Linked DNA regions of Bombyx mori. The protein of the gene in region 3 purifies or fractionates together with the protein of the main gene of each other region. This does not show direct contact. Links are inferred from orthologs where the notes say so. Each region holds a gene or a part of one and is shown on either strand. Other genes may lie near its edges.

Evidence for each region.
Region 1: the proteins of cell growth-regulating nucleolar protein (region 3) and nucleolar GTP-binding protein 1 purify together in Homo sapiens (co-immunoprecipitation; 3 studies listed by BioGRID and IntAct, with this or other methods). This does not show direct contact. The link is inferred for Bombyx mori from reciprocal best matches to the Homo sapiens genes LYAR and GTPBP4.
Region 2: the proteins of cell growth-regulating nucleolar protein (region 3) and uncharacterized protein LOC101746403 purify together in Homo sapiens (affinity purification with mass spectrometry; 3 studies listed by BioGRID and IntAct, with this or other methods). This does not show direct contact. The link is inferred for Bombyx mori from reciprocal best matches to the Homo sapiens genes LYAR and GNL2.

Annotation. Positions count from the first base shown.
Region 1 is NC_085108.1:540,161-546,324, reverse strand, and holds the end of nucleolar GTP-binding protein 1, read right to left. Parts: intron 5,728-6,164; coding exon 5,618-5,727; intron 4,852-5,617; coding exon 4,733-4,851; intron 3,788-4,732; coding exon 3,654-3,787; intron 2,997-3,653; coding exon 2,866-2,996; intron 1,792-2,865; coding exon 1,636-1,791; 3' UTR 1,589-1,635; downstream 1-1,588. UniProt on the Homo sapiens protein: Involved in the biogenesis of the 60S ribosomal subunit. Acts as a TP53 repressor, preventing TP53 stabilization and cell cycle arrest.
Region 2 is NC_085117.1:10,940,132-10,947,655, forward strand, and holds the start of uncharacterized protein LOC101746403, read right to left. Parts: upstream 3,899-7,524; 5' UTR 3,497-3,898; coding exon 1,463-3,496; intron 1,054-1,462; coding exon 540-1,053; intron 143-539; coding exon 1-142. Other genes in the region: transmembrane protein 170A, read left to right, coding at 5,214-5,612. UniProt on the Homo sapiens protein: GTPase that associates with pre-60S ribosomal subunits in the nucleolus and is required for their nuclear export and maturation.
Region 3 is NC_085132.1:5,509,582-5,516,978, reverse strand, and holds cell growth-regulating nucleolar protein, read right to left. Parts: upstream 5,125-7,397; 5' UTR 4,976-5,124; exon of another isoform or gene 4,916-4,975; intron 4,836-4,915; 5' UTR 4,780-4,835; coding exon 4,652-4,779; intron 3,810-4,651; coding exon 2,693-3,809; 3' UTR 2,526-2,692; downstream 1-2,525. UniProt on the Homo sapiens protein: Plays a role in the maintenance of the appropriate processing of 47S/45S pre-rRNA to 32S/30S pre-rRNAs and their subsequent processing to produce 18S and 28S rRNAs. Also acts at the level of transcription regulation.

The DNA.
Region 1 (6,164 bases), on a different chromosome or scaffold from region 3:
GTCGAATTTCGACTTTGCCGCTGTGCTAGTCTTTACCTAGAATATCTGTCGCTCATGTGTACATGAAAGTCTAAATGAAACAACCCCAAAAACTAAAAATACTAAACAAAATCAATCCCGCCAAAACAAACCGCTCCTTTTGCGGTGGGATCCAGACCACAGATCAATAAAGCATTAGACATTCCCAACTTTTATTTTATAAGCTTAGTTAACCCTACTGACTAGTTTTTTTGTGGAAGGACCTCTTGTGAGTCCGCACGGGTAGGTACCACCGCCCCGCTTATTTCTGCCGTGAAGCAGTAATGCGTTTCGGTTTGAAGGGTGGGGCAGCCGTTGTGACTATACTGAGACCTTAGAACTTATATCTCAAGGTGTGTGGCGCATTTACGTAGTAGATGTCTATGGGCTCCAGTAACCACTTAACACCAGGTGGGCTGTGAGCTTGTCCACACGTCTAAGCAATAAAAAAAAACTATTTAATACAACAATACAAAATCAATTGTATCCTGATGTAAGAAGAAACTAGTTACTACAAAAATGATAGAATATTAAATTAACCTAATCAGATACTCGTATACACAATTATAAAAACTATTTAATATTTATCTTTGATTTTGTACAAGAAATTAAAAATTAAATGGTACAGAATAATTTGATAGTTAAAACTGATTGCAATTATGATCGACAATTAATTAATCTGTCGGAATGCATTTAAAATGATCCTACCTTCTAGTACATTTACGGGTTCGTTGTTGCGTGACGTCACGTATTTAGCATAACAAGTACCCGGCGATGCTTGGGTCCTGATAAATATTATTAAAATGCTATAAACTACGCTTGTTAGAAATCTCATTCGAATCGTTCAATCATTTTTTTTTTATTGCCTATGTGTGTACGAGCTCACAGCCCACCTGGTGTTAAGTGGTTACGGAAGCCCATAGGCATCTACAACGTAAATGCGCCATCTACCTTGAGATATCAGTTCTAAGGTCTCAAGTATAGTTACAACAGCTACCCCACCCTTCGAACCGAAACGCATTACTGCTTCACGGCAGAAATAGGCAGGGTGGTGGTACCTACCCGCGCGGACTCACAAGAGGTCCTACCACCAGTAATTACGCAAATTATAATGTTTGCGGGTTTGATTTTTATTACACGATGTTATTCCTTCACCGTGGAAGTCAATCGTGAACAATTGTCAAGTCCATATTACATTAGAAAAATTGGTACCCACCTGCAGGATTTGAACACCGGTGCATCGCTCAACACGAATGCACCGGACGTCTTATCCGTTAGGCCTCGACGACTTTTAAAAACACTACCATGAACTACCATATTTTACTTTAATCCAGCGCAATGAACTCCGTTTAAAAATGGCATTGATAGCGGGTTGGGTTGCATTCCCTGTGGCCCGATACTATCACTTGACCCCATTGGGCTACATTAAGGATATTCAGCTAGTAGCTTGGCTCTGTCCCTGGCATTGCTGATGTCCATGGTCGACGGTAACCATTCACCATCAGGTGGATACGGTCTGCCTATAAGGACAATAACAAAAACAAAAAACCACCACCAATAAAACAAGATCTATAGTATAAATATATATATTGGTAAAGAGCACTGTCCACTGATGCACTATCTCCGGTCCGTCTTGCCGACCCCACGTTTTCCAGCGAACAGATGCTTCGGCATCTTGGTGCCGATGAACCGGTCCGCCTCTCCCTTGAGGCCCATCTTCTTGGTCTTCTTGGCGATGGCCGCGTGCGCCATCCTCTTTACTTTCACGCGCATCTGTTTTAAAAACATTTTATTATTATGTATATTTTTTTTTACTATTAGTGATCGATGATTGGTCAATAATCTCATTATGCAACATAGTGCATCAATCGATAAATAAAAGACCCTAAACTTTTTTATAAAATAAACTAAAAACAAACAAAAGGAATCAGTCCGACGGGGGACACATCAAAGGGAAAACAAAATTGTTATTTTTTTTTAATTCCGAGGAGCATTTTCATATTTATCTACCTTTTAAACCTTCTCTGAACTTCCACAAATAATTCAAGACCAAAATTAGCCAAATCGGTCCAGCCGTTCTCGAGTTTTAGCGAGACTAACGAACAGCAATTCATTTATATATATATATATATATATATATATATATATATATATATATATATATATAGATAAGATAATTAAACTTCGAATACAAACAAAATTAGCAAGCTAAAATAAAAATAATCACTAAACCATTGTCGAGTGCAGGTATGAGACCAAAATAATAATATTACTATATTGTCACCAGTCATTGACCCGTGTGCATTGTCAAGTCAATCTCACCTTTTGAACTTGATGAATGTCACGTTGAGCGGTTCCATTACACAGGCATATAGATAGTGGACGAGCCAGTAGAGGCATTATGAACTTATAAACATACAATACTGTTTTAATAGACTAATTTTAATTAAACTTTGTAGGAAACCTTGTTCTTGTATGTCTCCTCCGTGCAACCAAGGCATACAAGGGTTATTTTGGATATCAAGGACCGGTATACAAAAAAAACTTGCAACTATTTTTTATTTATTGCTTAGAAGATGTGCGGACGAGCTCACAGCCCACTTGGTGTTAAGTGGTTACTGGAGCCCATGGACATCTACAACGTAAATGCGCCACCCACCTTGAGATATTAAGGTCTCAGTACAGTTACACGGCTGCACCACCCTTCAAACCGAAACGCATTACTGCTTCACGGCAGAAATAGGCGGGGCGTACCTACCCGCGCGGACTCACAAGAGGTCCAAACACCAGTTTGCATGTAGAGGTCTCTAAATAAGCGGTAGTGAGGTCAATGTGGCGGGTACTCACGATGGGGTCGGCCACCGGCTGGTTGGAGGGTTCCCGCGCGCGCTTGGCGGGCGGCGCGGAGAGCGAGCGGGAGCGGGAGCGGGGGCGGGCGCGGGTGAAGTGCGCGTCGCCGGTCTCCGACATGTCCACGCCTGGAGCGACACATACAAACGTTATATTCAATAACTTAAAATAGTATCTCGATCACTATTATCGGGCAATGTTAGTATCCGGCCTACGAGAAACAATCACACAGTCAAACATCTATTTTAGGACGCTTAAATAAGCGGCCCTAAATATGACGGCGACAATAATAAAATGTTTATTTTATGTAAAAATTTACAATGCTTTTTTTTATGGGATTTTATGACCTGGTAACTAAGACCTAAGAATTTATTTTCTTATTTTTATTAAAATTGATAATATGGAGTGAAATGAAATGAAATAAAGATGATTAATTTGAGACATTAATCAACTGGGATGAAATTGAATGAAATGAGATGAAATATAATCTCAGTAAAATCATCATCACCAAAATCGGTCATTTACTGTAATTTTTTTTTAGTGGACTTTTTGGAGGAACCCGTGAAGTTACGTCCAGCGGCTTTGTTTCATTTTCCCACATTTATGCACTTTCAAGAGAGAGAGAGAGAGAGAGAGAGAGCGATCTCTTCCAGACTCTTTTGCTTCTTTACACATAAATAGAGTAAATAGAGTCCACAAGTTCAAAGTTGTTGACTCGACTAGACCTCAACATGTGGGTGCGTGCTCACTAGCGCGTCGTCCCGGTGTACAACTGAAACACGTACCAAGTTTCTCCATGTCCTTCCTGAGCTTGGAGGTGGACCTCTGCTTGGTCTTGGCTCGCGAGGTGCGCGGCATCACCGGCTTCGTGGACTGCTTCACCAGGCGAGACTCGTCCTTGAGAATGGCCTTCTTGTTGCTAAACACAAGGAGATGATTACAGTAGATCGGGGGGAATTGAGACTAGTGTTAGAATTGGGACAAATCTGGGATGTCACAATACTTTTGTTGACTTGTTAGTTTCAACTTTGTTGAATTGAAAATTAATTTTATTTAGTGTTTAAGAATATTAAATAGTTTAATTTAGTCATCAACCTAACAAATAAATAGTGGCAGCCCTATCGAAAAACTATTGTCCCTAATGTAACCTGATACACCCTAAAGCCAAGGTGAATCGGGTCAAGCTAGTTTTTTCAGTTTTTGTGTATACTTTGTAACGAACTATGTATAATAACGCATCGTATTAAGCCTCCGGAACCATTTTAATCTCAATTTTATTGGTATAACCCTTAGAAAGTACCGTAAGTTAGTATTACCCTTTGAAGTCGTCGTGGCCTAAAGGATAAGACGTCCGGTGCATTCGTGTTGAGAGATGCACCGGTGTTCGAATCCCGCCGGCGGGTACCAATTTTTCTAATGAAGTACGTACTCAACAATTGTTCACGGTTGACTTCCACGGTGAAGGAATAACATCGTGTAATAAAAATCAAACCCGCAAAATTATAATTTACGTAATCACTAGTGGTAGGACCTCTTGTGAGTTCACGCGAGTAGGTACCACCACCCCGCTTATTTCTGCCGTGAAGCAGTAATGCGTTTCGATTTGAAGGGTGGGGCAGCCGTTGTAACTGTATTGAGATCTTAGAACTTATATCTCAAGGTGGGTGTAGCGCATTTACGTCGTAGATATCTATGGGCTCCAGTAACCACTTAACACTAGGTGGGCTGTGAGCTTGTCCACTCATCTAAGCAATAAAAAAAATTGTTGGATTTGGAAAGGGTCCCGAATCCCCCTCAATCTACAGTATTTAGAACCTACAATGGCTACAATGAGTGGGGGCGGGTTGAGGGTGCCGGGGCTCACCGTATCTGCCGGGCCAGTTCCCTGATCTCCCTCACGGTGTCGTCCAGCTCGATCTTGGGCGCGGCGTACATGCCGCCAGCCTCGCGCAGTTCCTCGTCCTTCTCCAACTCTGCCAGTTTCTGGTAAAATTACGATACCTTTAAATTCTAATCTAAATTTTCAATTTAAGTAAAACTTTGAGCACATATCCAAAAAGTCTAAAAACTAGTTTTTTTTTAATACACTAACATAATGTTACGCCGGTAAAAGTAACGCCATCTATCGCCGAATAGTCGAACGAATGTCGAAGGACCTAGAACGCTCGAGAATTACAACGCCATCTATTGTCAGATAGCGGAAACTACTACTAGAGATGTGTGGAATATTCAGTGTTTTAAGTGTTGAATACAGTTTTTAGTTGTACTTTGGTGAAATTTTATTCATCCCGAGCCCCAGCGCGTAACAATAATATAGCCTCATAAATATGACTACATAAATAAAAATGTTCCAAAGCCTCATGACGATATTTGACGCAGTTGTGTGGAGACGGTTCCTGTCGAGGTACGGACAGATGGCGCCGGGCAGGTCAAAGATATAAGTGGAGGTGTTCCGCACTACCATACGAGCTCAAAGCCCACCTGGTGTTAAGTGGTTACTGGAGCCCACAGACATCTACGACATAAATGCGCCACCCAACTTGAGACATAAGTTATAAGGTCCCAAGTATAGTTACAACGGCTGCCCCGCCCTTCAAACCGAAACACATTACTGCTTCACGGCAGAAATAGGCAGGGTGGTGGTACCTACCAGTGCGGACTCACAAGAGGTCCTACCACCAGTTCACAAGAGGTCCTACCACCAGAGTCTTAATCTCTGGTATCCCTGTGATAAGGGAATGATACTCACATCAAAGATGTCCGGGTCGATATAGTCGGCGATGTTGTGTCCCTCCCAGATCTCCGGGATGACGTCATAGCGCTCGTCCTCCGGGATCTCCGTGTAGTTCTTCTTCAAGTCTGCAAAGCAACAGACAAGCCGTTTTTTCGCATCAAAAGTGTGCAATTTCCAAAAAGATTCGAAATTGAGTTAATATGCGGAATCATTTGGTATCACCAGTATTTTTCTCATAAATACTGTCAAAAGACCATAGTTTAGTTTTATTTTTTTTATTTTTTTTACTTTACCTATATTTTGACTACTATTAACAAAATTAATACATAATTTTATCTTACTTTAAAAGACAGATAATGTAACTGGTGGTAAAGTATCACAATATTTTTTTTATTGCCCTTGTAGGCAGACGAGCATACGGCCCACCTGATGGTGAGTGGTTACCGTCGCCCATGGACTTGAGCAATGCCAGGAGCAAAGCCAAGCCGCTGCCTATATCACATGTTAAACCTTTAAAACACTCTCCTGTAAAATTAGTCATTTTTGAAATTATACTGTTTTA
Region 2 (7,524 bases), on a different chromosome or scaffold from region 3:
AATTTCGATTTTTCTAAGGTAGACAATCTGTTTTTCTTATTTAGTTGACCCAAAACATTAGAAAGTCCACCAGGTTTTGCACTACTTGATGACTGAGCTGTTATATCTGATGTTTGATTTTGGGAACCATCAGATTTAATGGCTAAAATTATAAGTAAGTATAGTATTAAAAATATGGTAAGTCGTCAGTCTATTATGAATGAGCATCAGGCACCAAAGATAAAAAAATATAATGAGTTGCTTCAAAGTTCTGCCACTAGTCACAAACTCCTCATTGAAAGAACCAGCATTTACTAGTAATACCTATTAAATATATGTAGATACTTTGTACATATTCACACATATTATCTTAATACTTAGAACTGCTTAGATAGATTCATTATACTGAATTATTTATGACTATAAAGTTGCACACAAATATATTTTATGGGCTTACATCACAGAACAGTTATATCTGTTAATATTTTGGTATTACAAATTTAACTTTAGTCCTGTTATATATTCTTAACTTTCATTTACAGTGGGAGCTTTAAGTTTACCTTCCATAGATGTTTCGTCAACTTTCAACCGCTCTTTTATGACATTATTTTCTACTACAATTTTTTCACCAGCAAATTCAAAAATCCTTCTTTCTTTTTCTTTGGCATCATCATCATTTGTTTTCTTATAATTTACCGTATTATTGCTTGACCTTTCCGGGTTGGTAACTAAATCAACACTTTTTTCTTTAAGAACTGGTTTAGGCTTTGAATCGGTTCCTTCAAGAAACTTCGCCCACAAATCTTCTTCTCGTTTTTTCTCTTGTTCAGAGTCAACTATTGGTTCAGGTGTTTTATCTTTTTCTGATGTAACTTGTATTATTGTATCATTTTGGCTCTTTCTAGACTTCTTTACTTTATTTATTTTTTCAGCTGTAGCTTTCCGTTTTTTTATTTTGCCTTCAACTTCATGTTCGTATTGTTTTTCAGTTTCATCATCAGCAGATTCCTCTTCAGATAGTTTTTCCGGTTCTCCAGGTACATAGTCTTCGTCGCTCTCACTCCCTGATGACATCTGAAAATAGCAGAACAGAGAATTAATAAAAACTTAAATTCAAGTTCCGATTTTTTGTCTAAATCAATACGAATTATCTTTAAAAAAATACTGCAAGTGTACTACCTACCTACATACTTCAAATTATTCAGTGTTCATTCAGTAATAAATTAAAATATCTCTAATGAAATTGTCAATGGCAGCTTATTATTGAAATATCAGCAAAAAAAATTGAAAATTTAATATTCTGTAAGCAGCATAGTAGAGGATTGTGCTGAAGCTAGTTATTTTCGTAAGCAATTAAAATACTAATAAAAAACAAACACATTAATCTAAAAAGATTTTATTTAAAAAAATGTATTTTCTTGGCATGTTAAACAATAAATTAAGGTAAATTGGGCCTTTTCTTATTTCTATTTCTATTTTTAACATTAGACACTTCATAGAAGTTGCTTCCTGTTTTAGTGCGGCGGTTAGCTCTTTCTATGGCTCTACGTTTCTTTGCAGTCATTTTCTTATTTGAAAACTCATTACTCTGATCGTTAATTTTGTGTTTCTTTCCACTTTGTGCTACTTCTTCTACAGTAAATGCTCCACTGGCAGCTTCTAATTTCTTTCTCTTCATTTCTTTAATTGTTTCGGGATCATTAGTCAAATGGTCTTCCACATCAGAAGTTTCTTTTTCATCATTACTATAGAATTCGCTAATATCTGAAGAGTCGTCTTCATCATCATTTTTTTCTATTTCATCATCACTTTCAATTACTGATGAATTTAGGACACTCTCACCATCTTTAACTTTAATGTCTTCTGATATTACTATTTTACCTAAAGGTTTTATGTCTTCATTGTTGTCAAATTTTAATCCAACTCTTATCTTAGCAAAATCTTGTGCAATCATCAAATTACTTATATGAACAATAGGTTTATCACTATCGTCCGTTTTAGTTTCAGGTTTATTTTTTTCTGCTTTAGTCTCAGTTGTTATCTTTTCTTCTTCGTTTGCAACTTCAACAGTTTTTTCATCTTGTGTTTGCTTAGAGAGTGGTACTTCAAATCCCTCTGGAGCTACATAGAAAGGCAATTTACCTCTCTGCCAATCATTAAGGACCATCCTTGCAACTTGGTTAACATCAGGTTCACCTTTTTTTAACAATTTTCCAGTTCTTGCTGCAAGTTTTTCCAAAAATTCAGTAGCTGTTTCCCATCCATCTACTTTATAAGTCTTCACTAAGTACTCCTTTCTGACTCTTTTAATAACTTCTTCAATATAATCATCAGGATTTTGTACCAGCTCAACCCTCACTACTCCTTTTAATACTTTCTCTGTGTCTGTTTCAGCTGATGGATAAACAACACCCGGACAATCAATCAAGAATATTCTCTTCATTAAGGTGATATACTGCCAAACTTTTGTTTCACCAGCAATTGGGGCTACTTTACAAACTTTTTTAGACCTTAAAGTATTAATCACAGATGATTTTCCTACATTTGGATAACCAATAAAACCTACACTTATTTGTTTCTTGTCAATGTGCAACTTTCCAAATTGACGTAGTAAATTTATAAGTGAGCCTTTACCAAAAGGATGTGTTAATGAAGCATGAAATGCTATCGTTGGATACTCAGCACTGAGAATTGCGACCCATCTCTGTGTCACCCAATTTGGTACCAAATCAACTTTATTCAAGATAAATATAAGATGTTTATGGGGTTTTTCTTCTCTCAAAAATTTTTCAACATAAGGACTTCTTGTCCCAATGGGATCTCTTGCATCAAGAACTTGCAATAACACATCTGATGAGTCAATTACTTTGTATAATTCATTCCATATCCTCCTACTCATTCCAGCCCCAAAAACCCAGTCTCTTTGTCCTTCTTTTACACCTGAATCTTCACGGACTCTGTCAATATCTTTAGTTTCATCATATTTCTCAGAGCTTTCTTCTACCGCTTTATGCAAATCATTTAGATCGCTGAATTTCAAATTTACTCTTTTTCTCTGCTTTTTAGGACCAAATGTCCTATCAAAACCTTCAGTATCTAGAAGGTGAACTCTTGCATTTTTTGCTTTTTCATTAAGTAATGTTATGGGCAAATTCGTTGGTTTCATGATCACTTGATATGGATTTCTTACAGCAGCTCCAAACTCCTCTTGAAATTTTTGCAATGCATTCTGTGATATAACTCTTGAATTTCCAAACCATTTTTGGTTTGGTTCAACGCGTGCCTGTGTGCCTGATGGTAACCAACCTTGAAAGGGTGCTGGCGTTAGAATTTTTCCGGTTTTATCCCTTTTTGCCTTAAAGTTTCGGTACATCTGTAGTCTCTTAATTGTTCCTTTTGATCTCGGGTTGCCTACGCCTTTCAAACCCTCTGTGGGTCGATCAGGGTTCATTGAATGCCCAGACTTATTAAACCCTTGTTTCCGGGGAGCACCCGGAGTCGACCGAACTTTTCCCATATTTGTATGCGATTTAATACACGTTTATGGAAAAAAAAAACTTCTTTTTCACTTTTATTACACAATTAATGATCTTTAATCTACTACAAGAGGTTATGTGTGGACCGTCACATCACATTTTTTTTTTGTCAAACTAACTCAATGTAAAAGTAGCTTACTTCACACTGCACAAAAATATTGTAGGTGTAGCACAAATGAGTTGAAAAATACTTACTATGATGACAAACAAAAAATTCCCAAGTTTGTTTTTTTAGGAACAATATTTACAGCTTTTATTGATTTATGTTGTATTAATACATTAAATTTTATCGATAAGGTACCTTTATGGAAAAGGTTAAAACAAAACGGCAGAGGCGCCAGCAGTAGTTATAAAATAACTATGAACATAGATACAAAGGAGGAGGATAGATTATCAGATTATACCTACATAATTTCTAAATACTGTTTAAAATAGAAATATATTTTGATCTCTGGTTAATGTTCATTGTATTGTCTATGTAATCAATATATTTGTGAAATTTAAACATTACAAAATACTGTCTTATAAATGAATTTATTTATACTTACAGGGAACTTTAGTCTTTAGCTCGAATTAAATTGTTTACGTAGCATACAACTTAATCAAATCAAAAAAATAGTAAATTGTGTTATTTTGAGATACGCTAGTAATACTATTATATATTAAGTTGAGAAAGTACCCTTTAAGAATTTTTAGAACTTTATTCCTAAATAACAGATAAATGCATATTTTATATCTTTAAACTGCTCGTTTATTCTATATATATAATATATAGGTAGCTTTAAGGTTGGTATTAAGTTTGAAAGGTTGAATTGAGAGGGATTAAGTGGGGTAATTGAATATAAATGGTTGTGAGTTTTTAATGTATGTATGGAAGGTAATGTTAAATTTATGAAGGTCAGGTTAGTGTTATTCTTTTTTGGAATATTGTATTAAATTATATACAGGGCGTTAAATGTGTGTTGACGGGGGATGTTGGAGTTTGAATATGAACGTAATGGCAGGCAACACTTGACACATGTAAGGTTACATATTTCGAATATTGGAAGGCTTTTATATGTTTAAAACAAATAATGATGTGAAGACAATTCTCATCTAGACACGGTCAGAGCAACATCTTAGAGTTTTATAAAAATAAAATATTATAATGGTGTAATAGTGTACAAAGTATTTACAATATAATTATATTAAACATGAAGCAGTGTTTTTAAATAACCCCTCACCAGCAGAACCCAGTCCTCTCAAATTTGACCGTCCAAAAAATACCTTCGCCTTTTCAGTTAGAAAAATTTAACCACTAGTATTGTCACGGTAAAAACGTCAAATCTATCGACTGTCAATTCAAAACAATTAATTTCTCGACAGGTTGTACAAACTAGGGAGTAGATAGGTAATATTTCTCCATATTACTTTGTAGTCTTTAGGTAAAGTGGATATTGAGGACAAAAGAATTTACACGTAAATGCTGCATGCTATATATGACAGCTAGCTTTACTATAAATTGTTAAAAAAGTAGTTTTATAAATTGTGAAGACACATAAAATTTCAAACGAATGGATAATGTTGTATAAGTACAACAGTCAAATATTAATGCGTCCAACAGAAACATTAGTTTCTATACCGCTCATACGATTTCTTTGGTAAAGAATAAAGGCCAGATACCCAGATGCCTTTAGTTTCCAAGAAACGAAGGGCAACATGTATGACATGTTGTCTGAATTCAGAGTTTCAGAATTCGATTCATTTGTGGATATATTAAGATTGACTTCTGGTGATCCGTTAGATACGTTTGGTGAAATGTGGTACCCAATGTTCCTTTGGTCATTATGTTCTTCAGTGTTTGTGCACACATGTGCGGCTCTTGTAGCCATTGGAACTCTAAGGAAGCACAAATATGGCAAGTTTTTTCCTGTTCTGCTGATAGTGATGGGTGTAGTTGGTCCAGTGACTTCGGGCGTAGCCTGTAGTGCTGCCATAGCATTTATATACCGTGCTGCTAATATGGCGATGCCTCCCATACATGCTATGGTTTGGGGCATTGGTCAAACTATACTAGGAGCTGGAATAGGATTTACAAGAATTTTAGCAACATTGTAATTTGTAAATATAAATTGCACTGTATTACTATTTTATGAAACAGCTAGCCCACACAGCACATGAAATAAGTGATTGTCAATTAAGTAGTTATTACACTAAGACATCAATTTTTAGCCATATGAAAATAATAAGACAATAGCAAATAACTTGACACTAAGCTAATAATATAATGTAAACATATATTATTCAATTTGATTCTAGTGCTGGTAAATGTGAAATGTTAATGCAAATTTATAAATAATAATGTGTATTTTAAAATAGATGAAATGCTGTAAATATGTAATTATTGAAATAGAATTTTTTAGTGAACTTGACTGATGCTTCAGTGAGACAATTAATATAAATTTGTATTCTTCCATACTGTATGTATAAATAGTGTATATATTATGTGTAAATGATAAAGCATTCCAAGTGAAAATTGTCGATTCAACTGAAATTTTGTATTTGGAAATTCAATTTTTCAAATGAATTCATTACTTTAGATTATTTGATAATCCCACCGTAGTTAAAATGTTTAATGAGATTTACTGTATAATATATAATTTTAAATTGTGTAAAAGAGACATTTATTGAAAGTGTAGCTCTTTGTCTTTGTTTTAATAATGGGATTGTAGTGCCCCACTCAATTCAAGACATAACCATATAAAATTATAATTGTACTTATTTTAATAAGATTACCAAAAAACAAACCCATGTGTTTAATTTATTCAAAGGATTTTTTTTGTAAGAAGCAAGAATGATTGTGTACCTGCCTTCTTAAATTTCAGTAATTGTCATTATATTATGTATAAGTTTTGTGGCAATAAATTGGCATAGTATTTGGTGTATGTAGTGTTATTAAAAAAAAATAGAAGTGTAATTGTCTGTTATAAAAAATTTGGAACAATATATACCTAAATACTTTAAATTTTTGATGGATTACCTACTAAGAAAATGTCCTTTACTCCTTGTATATAAGTCAAAACATTATTTAAAGAAAATTCAAAACAGTTAATAAAAAGAACAATGTCATTTTTAAACCAGAAATAAACTGCTTTTTTAAATTTTTTTTTTATTGTTTTCTATAACTTTGAGTTGTATAGCTTTGAATATTAAATAAAGAAATAGCTGTTACTTGATCATTTATGTTGCCTTAGAAAAAAATGACAAAATAAGCACCCAATTTCTACTAATTGAGCTACACTCTAGTTGTCAATGAATTTTGCTATTAAGGCTTTTTTTAAATATTACATTCTTACAGCCCATCCAACTGCTAAGTGGTCACTGGGGTCCATATGCCATACCTACCTACTTTCAAAGAACGTGCACATGTACAGCATGGCCGTCATTTGTAAACATGTAGCAATACATGTCTCAGAAAGTATTAAAACTGTGCTCTAATATAAGTCTTGAACCCTGTCAATCACTCAATAATGATTCACCAGGCATCTACCCTTCAGGCAACGAATGCTAGCAAAATCGGAGCGTTGGTACATCTACAACTCATAAATCATGTATTTTCATGCTAGCATGTAGATCGCATGTGTCATGTCAATTCTATGCGGTTCTTCGGTGATAACGACAAAGGGAAGTCAGTTCTTCTACCGAGCGGGTCAAATTGCACGGTAGATCGACAGTCCGAAAATATTGGAATTTGTTGGTTCGAAACTTGTATTTAAACTAAGCTTATCTTAAGAGTCGTTAGCGAGATACACGCATCTATCAAATATCTTGCGTTCTACATAAAATATCTACGAGCAATGCTTTAGGTATTGTTTTGGGAAAAAGGGACAGGGTTGTTGTCAATTCTCCAAAAATTGTATTATTCTATTCAAATATGTTTCTTCACTGTACATATTTTACTGTACACATTTTATTAATTTATTGTAGGTTTTCATATAATCTATATATTTACAACATAACAATAATTTGA
Region 3 (7,397 bases):
TCAACCAAAGTATGAAAAAAATCTGAAATTAGACCTTTCTCCATAAAGAATTGAACCTTCTTGAAAAATTCGCAAAACTACATTATTTAAAGGACGTATTTTCAGTCCGTGTATGTCATTTTCACTAACACACTATATGTTTTCCATCTCTCAGTATCATGAATAAATTTTTTGTAGCGTGTTTGACACACGAATAGACAAGCAAACGGCCTGAGCGACCCCTATTCGGCTTCCATTTTTTGTCATTTTGCTTAGGAACCACATTAGTGGCTTTCAATAATTCTGAACTTTAACAGTGAATTGACAAAATTAGCAGAGCATAGGTACAACCTTAAAAAAACGTTGTGAGCCATAGAAATGGTTCCATTAGATATGAAGACTTGTGAATGGTTGATTGATGATGTTTCCGACGTAAATGGTTGACTTTCAATAGGCTTTTGTGTTGGGTCACTGAACTCGATTTTACGAAAAGGCATTCAAGCATTCAGATTGATTTTTCTACCGGTACCAAAGCGGTCAAATCAAGAATAACTTTAATTGTTTAAAATTTAACATGACACTGGCTTTTTATTTAGTTACCGACCTAAAGGTTGTCTTTTTAGAAGATACCTTAATGTCTAGTTTTTAAGTAATTTTATGCGTATTTTCAGTGTATAATAAGTCATATTCGTTGGTAGCCTAAGAGGCAATTCCAGCTACGCCCGGAGGGTTGAGCCCTGAGAGAAATTGCTAACACTAGCCCTAGCAGTGATTCGCAGAATCTACCACCGAATCGAATTCGCGACCCACTGAAAACAACCGGCGAGAAACTCAGTGAGCTGTGTCAATGAAATAAGTCATCGTGGCCTAACAGTTACGACGCCTGGTTTAGTAGTCATATCGAGCGATGCAACTACGCCGGGGCTCAAATCCCACGGGAAAGTACTATATTTTCTAAGAAAATGCCGCATGTTCACAAACTTCTTCCACGATATAAAAATAATAGTGTAATTAAAAAAAAAAACCGTAAATTATTATATTGCATTTTTTTATTGCTTAGATCACAGCCCACCTGGTGTTAAGTGGTTACCGGAGCTCATAGACAACTACAACGTAAATGCGCCACTCACCTTGAGATATAAGTTCTAAGGTCTCAAGTATACTTACAACGGCTGCCACACCCTTCAAACCGAAACGCATTACTGCTTCACGGCAGAATTATGCAGGGTGGTGGTACCTTCCCGCGCGGACTCACAAGTGGTCCTACCACCAGTAATTACGCAAATTACAATTTTGCGTTTTGATTTTTATTACACGATGTTTTCCTTTGCCGTGGAAATCAATCGTGAACATTTGCTGAGTAGGTACGTATTTCATTAGAAAAACTGGTACCTGCCTGAGATTCGAACACCGGTGCATCGCTCAACACGTCTTATCTTCTAGGCCACGACGACTTCAAATGTGGTAAAATTAACTGTCCAATTGTCCAGTCTAATCGCTGGTAGCCTAAGGGACTATTTCAATTGCTTTCGGCCTCGGTTTTCTACCACAGCCGAGACCGCATGGGATTGAAATTACGCTCTATATAGCAACTATAGTTGGACACGGGAACGGTCGGTACTCATTGATTCCGACATTGATATTTCTCAATCGGTGATAGTGGTCTAAAAGTGGCAATATCAAATCCCAGGGGAGAATCAATTTTCATGTTATTAGATTGTAGGTACAACGACGAAAGGAACATCTTCCACCGAGCGGGTGATATTGCTCGGTAGACCGACGATCCGAACGTTGTTGTTCGGAACTAGTACATATGCAAACTTATCTTGAAAATGTCGTAAGCGAGATTCAGGCATTTGTCAAATATCTTGTGTTGTGCGATGGCTACCGCCACAAGACAATTAGTACATGTTTACGAATGAATTATTTAATTTAATATTTAAAAAAAAAAAACATATTTAAATAAAAAAAAAAGACTTGTCCGCTGAGTTTCTTGCCAATTCTTCTCAGGACGGAGGCTAGTTTTTGTGAATTGGCGGTAGTTCTTTTGACGTTCAACAAGTATTTACTTTCATTTATGTTGAATAAAAAAAATTTGATTTGATTTGATTGATTCGAATTCCAAAATAAAGGAGTAACATCGAGAAAGAGCAAATCGTGGTAAAATATAATTTGAGTACCTAATTACTCGTTAGAGTAGGGTAGGTAGGTACTGCCACCCTGCCTATAATCAGTAATGGATTCCAGTTGAAGGGTAGGTAAGAATATTGTATAGTGAACAATTGACTCTAGATCTTAGTGGGTGCGGCATTCGCGTTGTGATGTCTGCTGACTCCGGAAACCACTTAACGTCAAATGAGCCGTAGGTTTGTATAGGTACCAGTCTATAATAAAATTACAAATGTTACGACGCCGCGAGACGGGCTTGGATCAATGTCGAATTGTGCGATTGACCTACTAAGATATGGTTCTTCGTGTGCCTATGGATTATGGCAAACACCTTCACCGTTTAAATAAATATAATGAAGTTGGTGGGTGTAAATGACTTTTAAATAAATATCCACAATTTTATTACATTTTTAGGTTATATAATGTTTTTACTTTATGTCTTAGGATTAAGAGGAAAGTTATAAATACACAAAAAAGAACACATGGGAAACAGGTCTTTAGAAATTGTAAAATTTTCTTTCATGTTTCAAATCCATATAAAAATTCATTCAATGAGCAATACCCTATTTTTGTCAACCCTCACATTAGGAGCACTCTTCAGTTTTTTTATAAATTTATCAGCAATTCTATCATCAATCTCTTGGCCAGTAGCTTCACTATATTCAGCTAATACTTTCTTCTGAAGCCTTTTAAATGGGACTTCATTATCTTTCTTCTGCAAAACTGACATAATAACTGCGTGCCAGTTAAATTTGCCATTGTTCTCAGCATTAACCTCTTCGATTCTGGCAACATTCTGATCGTGGAGACACAAACTTGCATCTTCTTTTGCTTCCTCATCCTTCTTCTTCTTCTTTTTGGTTTTTTCTGCTGGCACTTTAGTTTCAATGTTATCAGCGACAACTTCAACAGCCGGCACTCCGTTCAAACTATTAACTGTATCTTGACGTTTACGTTTCTTCTGCTTTTTAGTCTCCGTTGCCTCTACTGTGTCACCATTCTGTGATTCAGTCCTGTTCTTCTTTTTCTTACCTTTTTTTCCTTCATTTTCAATCTCATCCTCAACTGGGGGAGCTTCAGCACTATGCAATTCTGCTTCATACTTCTGACGTTTCTTCTCTTCTTTGCGTTGTTTTTTGGACAGCTTTTTTAGATCACCAACATCATTACCATTAGGATTTTCAACATTTTTTACATCAGCATCATCATTCTGAGAGTTATTTTCTTTATTCTGCTCATCATTTTCTTTATTCTGTTCACCATTTTCTTTATTCTGTTCCCCATTTTCTTTATTAACTTCACCATTGGTAATATTGCCTTTATTTAGATTCTGAGTTACGTTTGATAAATCTGTAAGCTTTACAGAAATAAATTCCCAAGCTTGGTCAATGTCTTTTGGATTAGTTTTATGTCCACAGACATTTTTGACAAAATTAATAAACTTAGGCTTCTTTCGTGGTGTATTGTTATGCTTGCTTATTGTCTCAATAATCCTACGTACATTTTGAGGTGCACTTTTTTGCTCATCTAAAACTGACTGCAACATCTCCACCCAAGCATTTTGTTTTTTCTCACCCTTTTTCTCCTTAGCTGTGAAACCTTTTCCAGAGTATCTTTCTTCTTCAGTAATGCACTTGATATGCGATTCATAATCTTTTCCTCTGTAATAATGTAATGAAATAAAAACACAATTTAAAAATTCACACAGTTTAAAAAATAGAATATTATTAATGCCTTTTCATAAATAAACTAATCACTTCAATCAAAATGGTTTTTCATTAGCATAGCACCAGTAATTAAAACATTTCATTACCATGACACTACAAATTATAAGTCTGCAAGGGTTACTAGCATTCTGCCAAGTTCTGTCTATTTTGGACATCCATTACACAGTACAAATGGGACTTTGACCTCATGTCTGACATTTGTGGCAGTTATGTTCTATACGGACTCCAGTAATTGTTTAGAACAATGTAGCCTCACCCTAAAGTTAATTTTGGTATTGCCTTTTATTATAATCTCTTTTTGGCTGTGGGGACCGAATTGATGCGCCAAGAATGCTAAACAGCTCATAGCAGTTTGCCACAAGAATGCCTAGTTGTCAACAGTCATTGGCAAACAATAACTCTCGTCTGTCATCTCAGTAGGTCATGCGGACCTACTGAGTTTCCCTAGCTAGACTAAAACCAGTCGCACTTCATTATGCTCTCGGTCCAAAAACTGAGGATTGATGCACTAGGCTCACAATGATTGCACTGCATGCCTTTTATTTTTCTTTCAGGCCGGGTGTCGAAACTCATACGATGTCTCCGCGCCTACGGGGACGCTGGGTATGTGGGACTTGACGATCTGCAGATGCTGGAAGCAGATCACAGGCCCAAGGATATTTGCATGCCTGGCCTGGCCCAACCTAAACTAACTAGAAAGTATCATATTATTGCTAGCTTATTATTTCGGAGCTATAATTAAAGTATTGATATCCAATCAAGACCGAAATACTCACAGAAAATCTTTGAAACAGTCCATACATGACAAATTTGGATTTTTATTCCTACATTTAGTGAGATAATGCTTTTCCACTTTGGGCTTCTGAACAGACTCCCCACAATGACTGCATGTAAAAACAACCATTTCTTGTAAAACACGTGTGAATTGGGGCTATTTGTTTTGAATGCAAAATGTATAACCTGAAAATCGATATTGATATATTTGAAACTGTCGTCTTTTACTTTTATTGTAAATTGAAATGTACAAAGATTTGAAGAACCTTAAATTTAAAAATGATCAGTATTTTATTTTCACTCGTGTATGTAGTTTTATGGATTACCGTTTTATATTTTTGTAAACTTTTATGTGTCAAACTATTTTTTGTGTAGCAAATAGCAATTGGCAACAAAATACATTTTCTATTTTTTCAGTATGGCAATAGTGTCGAATTTTTGCCAATCCCTTCATTCCATTACTTCAAACATGATAGTGAATATTAGTGAAAGATGAGGCGGAATGAAACTGATGTAATAGAAATTGTAATCTATTGTAATCCAATTTAGTGAAATAACATCACAGTAAATTGGCGAGAATTCAATGAAACTTTAGAGGGCTTTTTAGATGATGAACACGACAAGCGACGTCCCCGACTTGCTTCATTTTCCCACACTTGTGCACTTTCACAAATAAAGGATTCTAAACGGTTAACAAGCCTTCAATATAACATGTTCAAAGCTGAAGAAATACTAAACAAATTTCAATTTCCACATCTTCATTTTTTCACGTTCCCACAAAGCCATAATACATACTATGTATGTGCATGCACAGTGCACTTAGTCGGCAATCGACATTATTATTGAATCCCTTGGACTGGCTTAAGGACTGATGCCCATACAAAACAATGGAACAAAGACAGACACCACACGGCAGCATACTGTGATATGAAAAATAAAGTGAAATTGGTTTTGGAGTGAAATTTAATAAAAAATGTAATGATAAAAGAGGAGAAAAGACAGTACCAGCAGGTGTTGGATGAGATGAAATGAAATAACATCTCAGCGAAATGGTGGGGATTTCACAAATGCTACAATTATAATAAACGGAGCGAATCCCCTTCTACCATATGAAAAATGAATGACAAGAAGTAGATCAGAGAAGATTAAGACAACAGACAACTTCCGACCACACGATACATGTCACAATAATTGAATACAGTATTAATTATTGTGGCATTAGCATGAAGCCCATTAGCAGAAATATTAACCCACTTAAATGAGTAAATTTGACAATTAAAAAATATCAGTACAATTTACTGTACCCTTTGAAGTAAAGTAATACCTATTAAACGAGTTAAATAATGTTTGATTAACTTCTGAAGATAGCAATGTTTGATAAAAAAAATTAAGAATGAAATACTAAGATGGATGATGAACGAAAACTGTTGATTTAAGCTGTTGTACAGAGTACATTGAAGAACAATTAAAAGGCCTCTAAGCTTATTTATCAAATGTTTTATCTGTGCTCTAATGCCGGCCACTGACATGCGCGCAAATATTCGTACATTGTACGAATGCATGCGCGCAAATATTCGTACATTGTACGAATGTTTGCGCGCATGTGAAGGGCCGTCAAACATTCATTCGCAAACCTAGCGGCTGTGCAAATGGGTTCGTATACTCAATTTGCGAACCCGTTTGCGCTTCCTCCTACACTTGTTTACGAATGTCTCACGAATTTCTCCTCCTTTTTAATTCGTCAATAGAACATTGAAAAGAAAAAGAGTTTTGAATTCTTTCCCAAACATCATTAACAGCCATGCTGTTTTATGGGATTTCTTTTGATGAAGATACGCTACACAGTAGACGTCACGAACTATGAAAATGGCGATACGTCCGTTACCTTCGCAATCGTCGGCGCAACTGGGCAAGCGAATGTGTGGGAGACTACGCGAAGGTTCGAGGTTCGCGCGCTTTGATGTCTGTTAAAAAATCGACACAGCTTGAAAAACCACGAATGCAGCGAAAACTTTGCATAATGATTCGCAAATGTCGTCCTACACTTGCGGGTTTGCGTATTCGTGCGCATGTGAGTGACCGGTGTAAGCGATCTGACTGAGATTATATTAAACTACCCACGGAAATAAACAACATTCTCAAGTTTTGGTATGGGAACCAGATCAACAATGTGCGATGGGCTGGGGCTTTGTCTCTTCCGTATAGGTTGGAGTGCGGGGTGAGACAAGGGGGATTGAGCTCGCCTACGCTCTTCAACCTGTATATGAACGAGCTGATCGGCGAACTCAGTAGGACCAGGATTGGTTGTTTCATAGACGGGGTGTGCGTAAACAACATCAGCTACGCAGACGATATGGTGCTGCTGAGCGCGTCTATCTGTGGCCTAAGGCAACTTGTTTCTTTGTGTGAGGGATACGCCAAATCACACGGTTTGGTGTACAACTGTAAAAAGTCGGAGATCATGGTCTTTGAGACCAGGGGTGGGATGCATGATAAAATACCTCACGTAGTACTCAACGGAACGCCATTGACAAGAGTTTATAAATTTAAATATCTCTGCCATGTGTTGACCCCTGATCTCAAAGATGATGAAGATATTGAACGAGAGCGGAGAGCGTTGTCGGTTAGAGCAAACATGATAGCTCGCAGGTTTGCACGGTGTTCACTTAAAGTCAAGGTCACCCTCTTTAAGGCCTACTGTACTAACTTTTACACGTGTAGCTTGTGGGCTGGATATACTCAAAGATC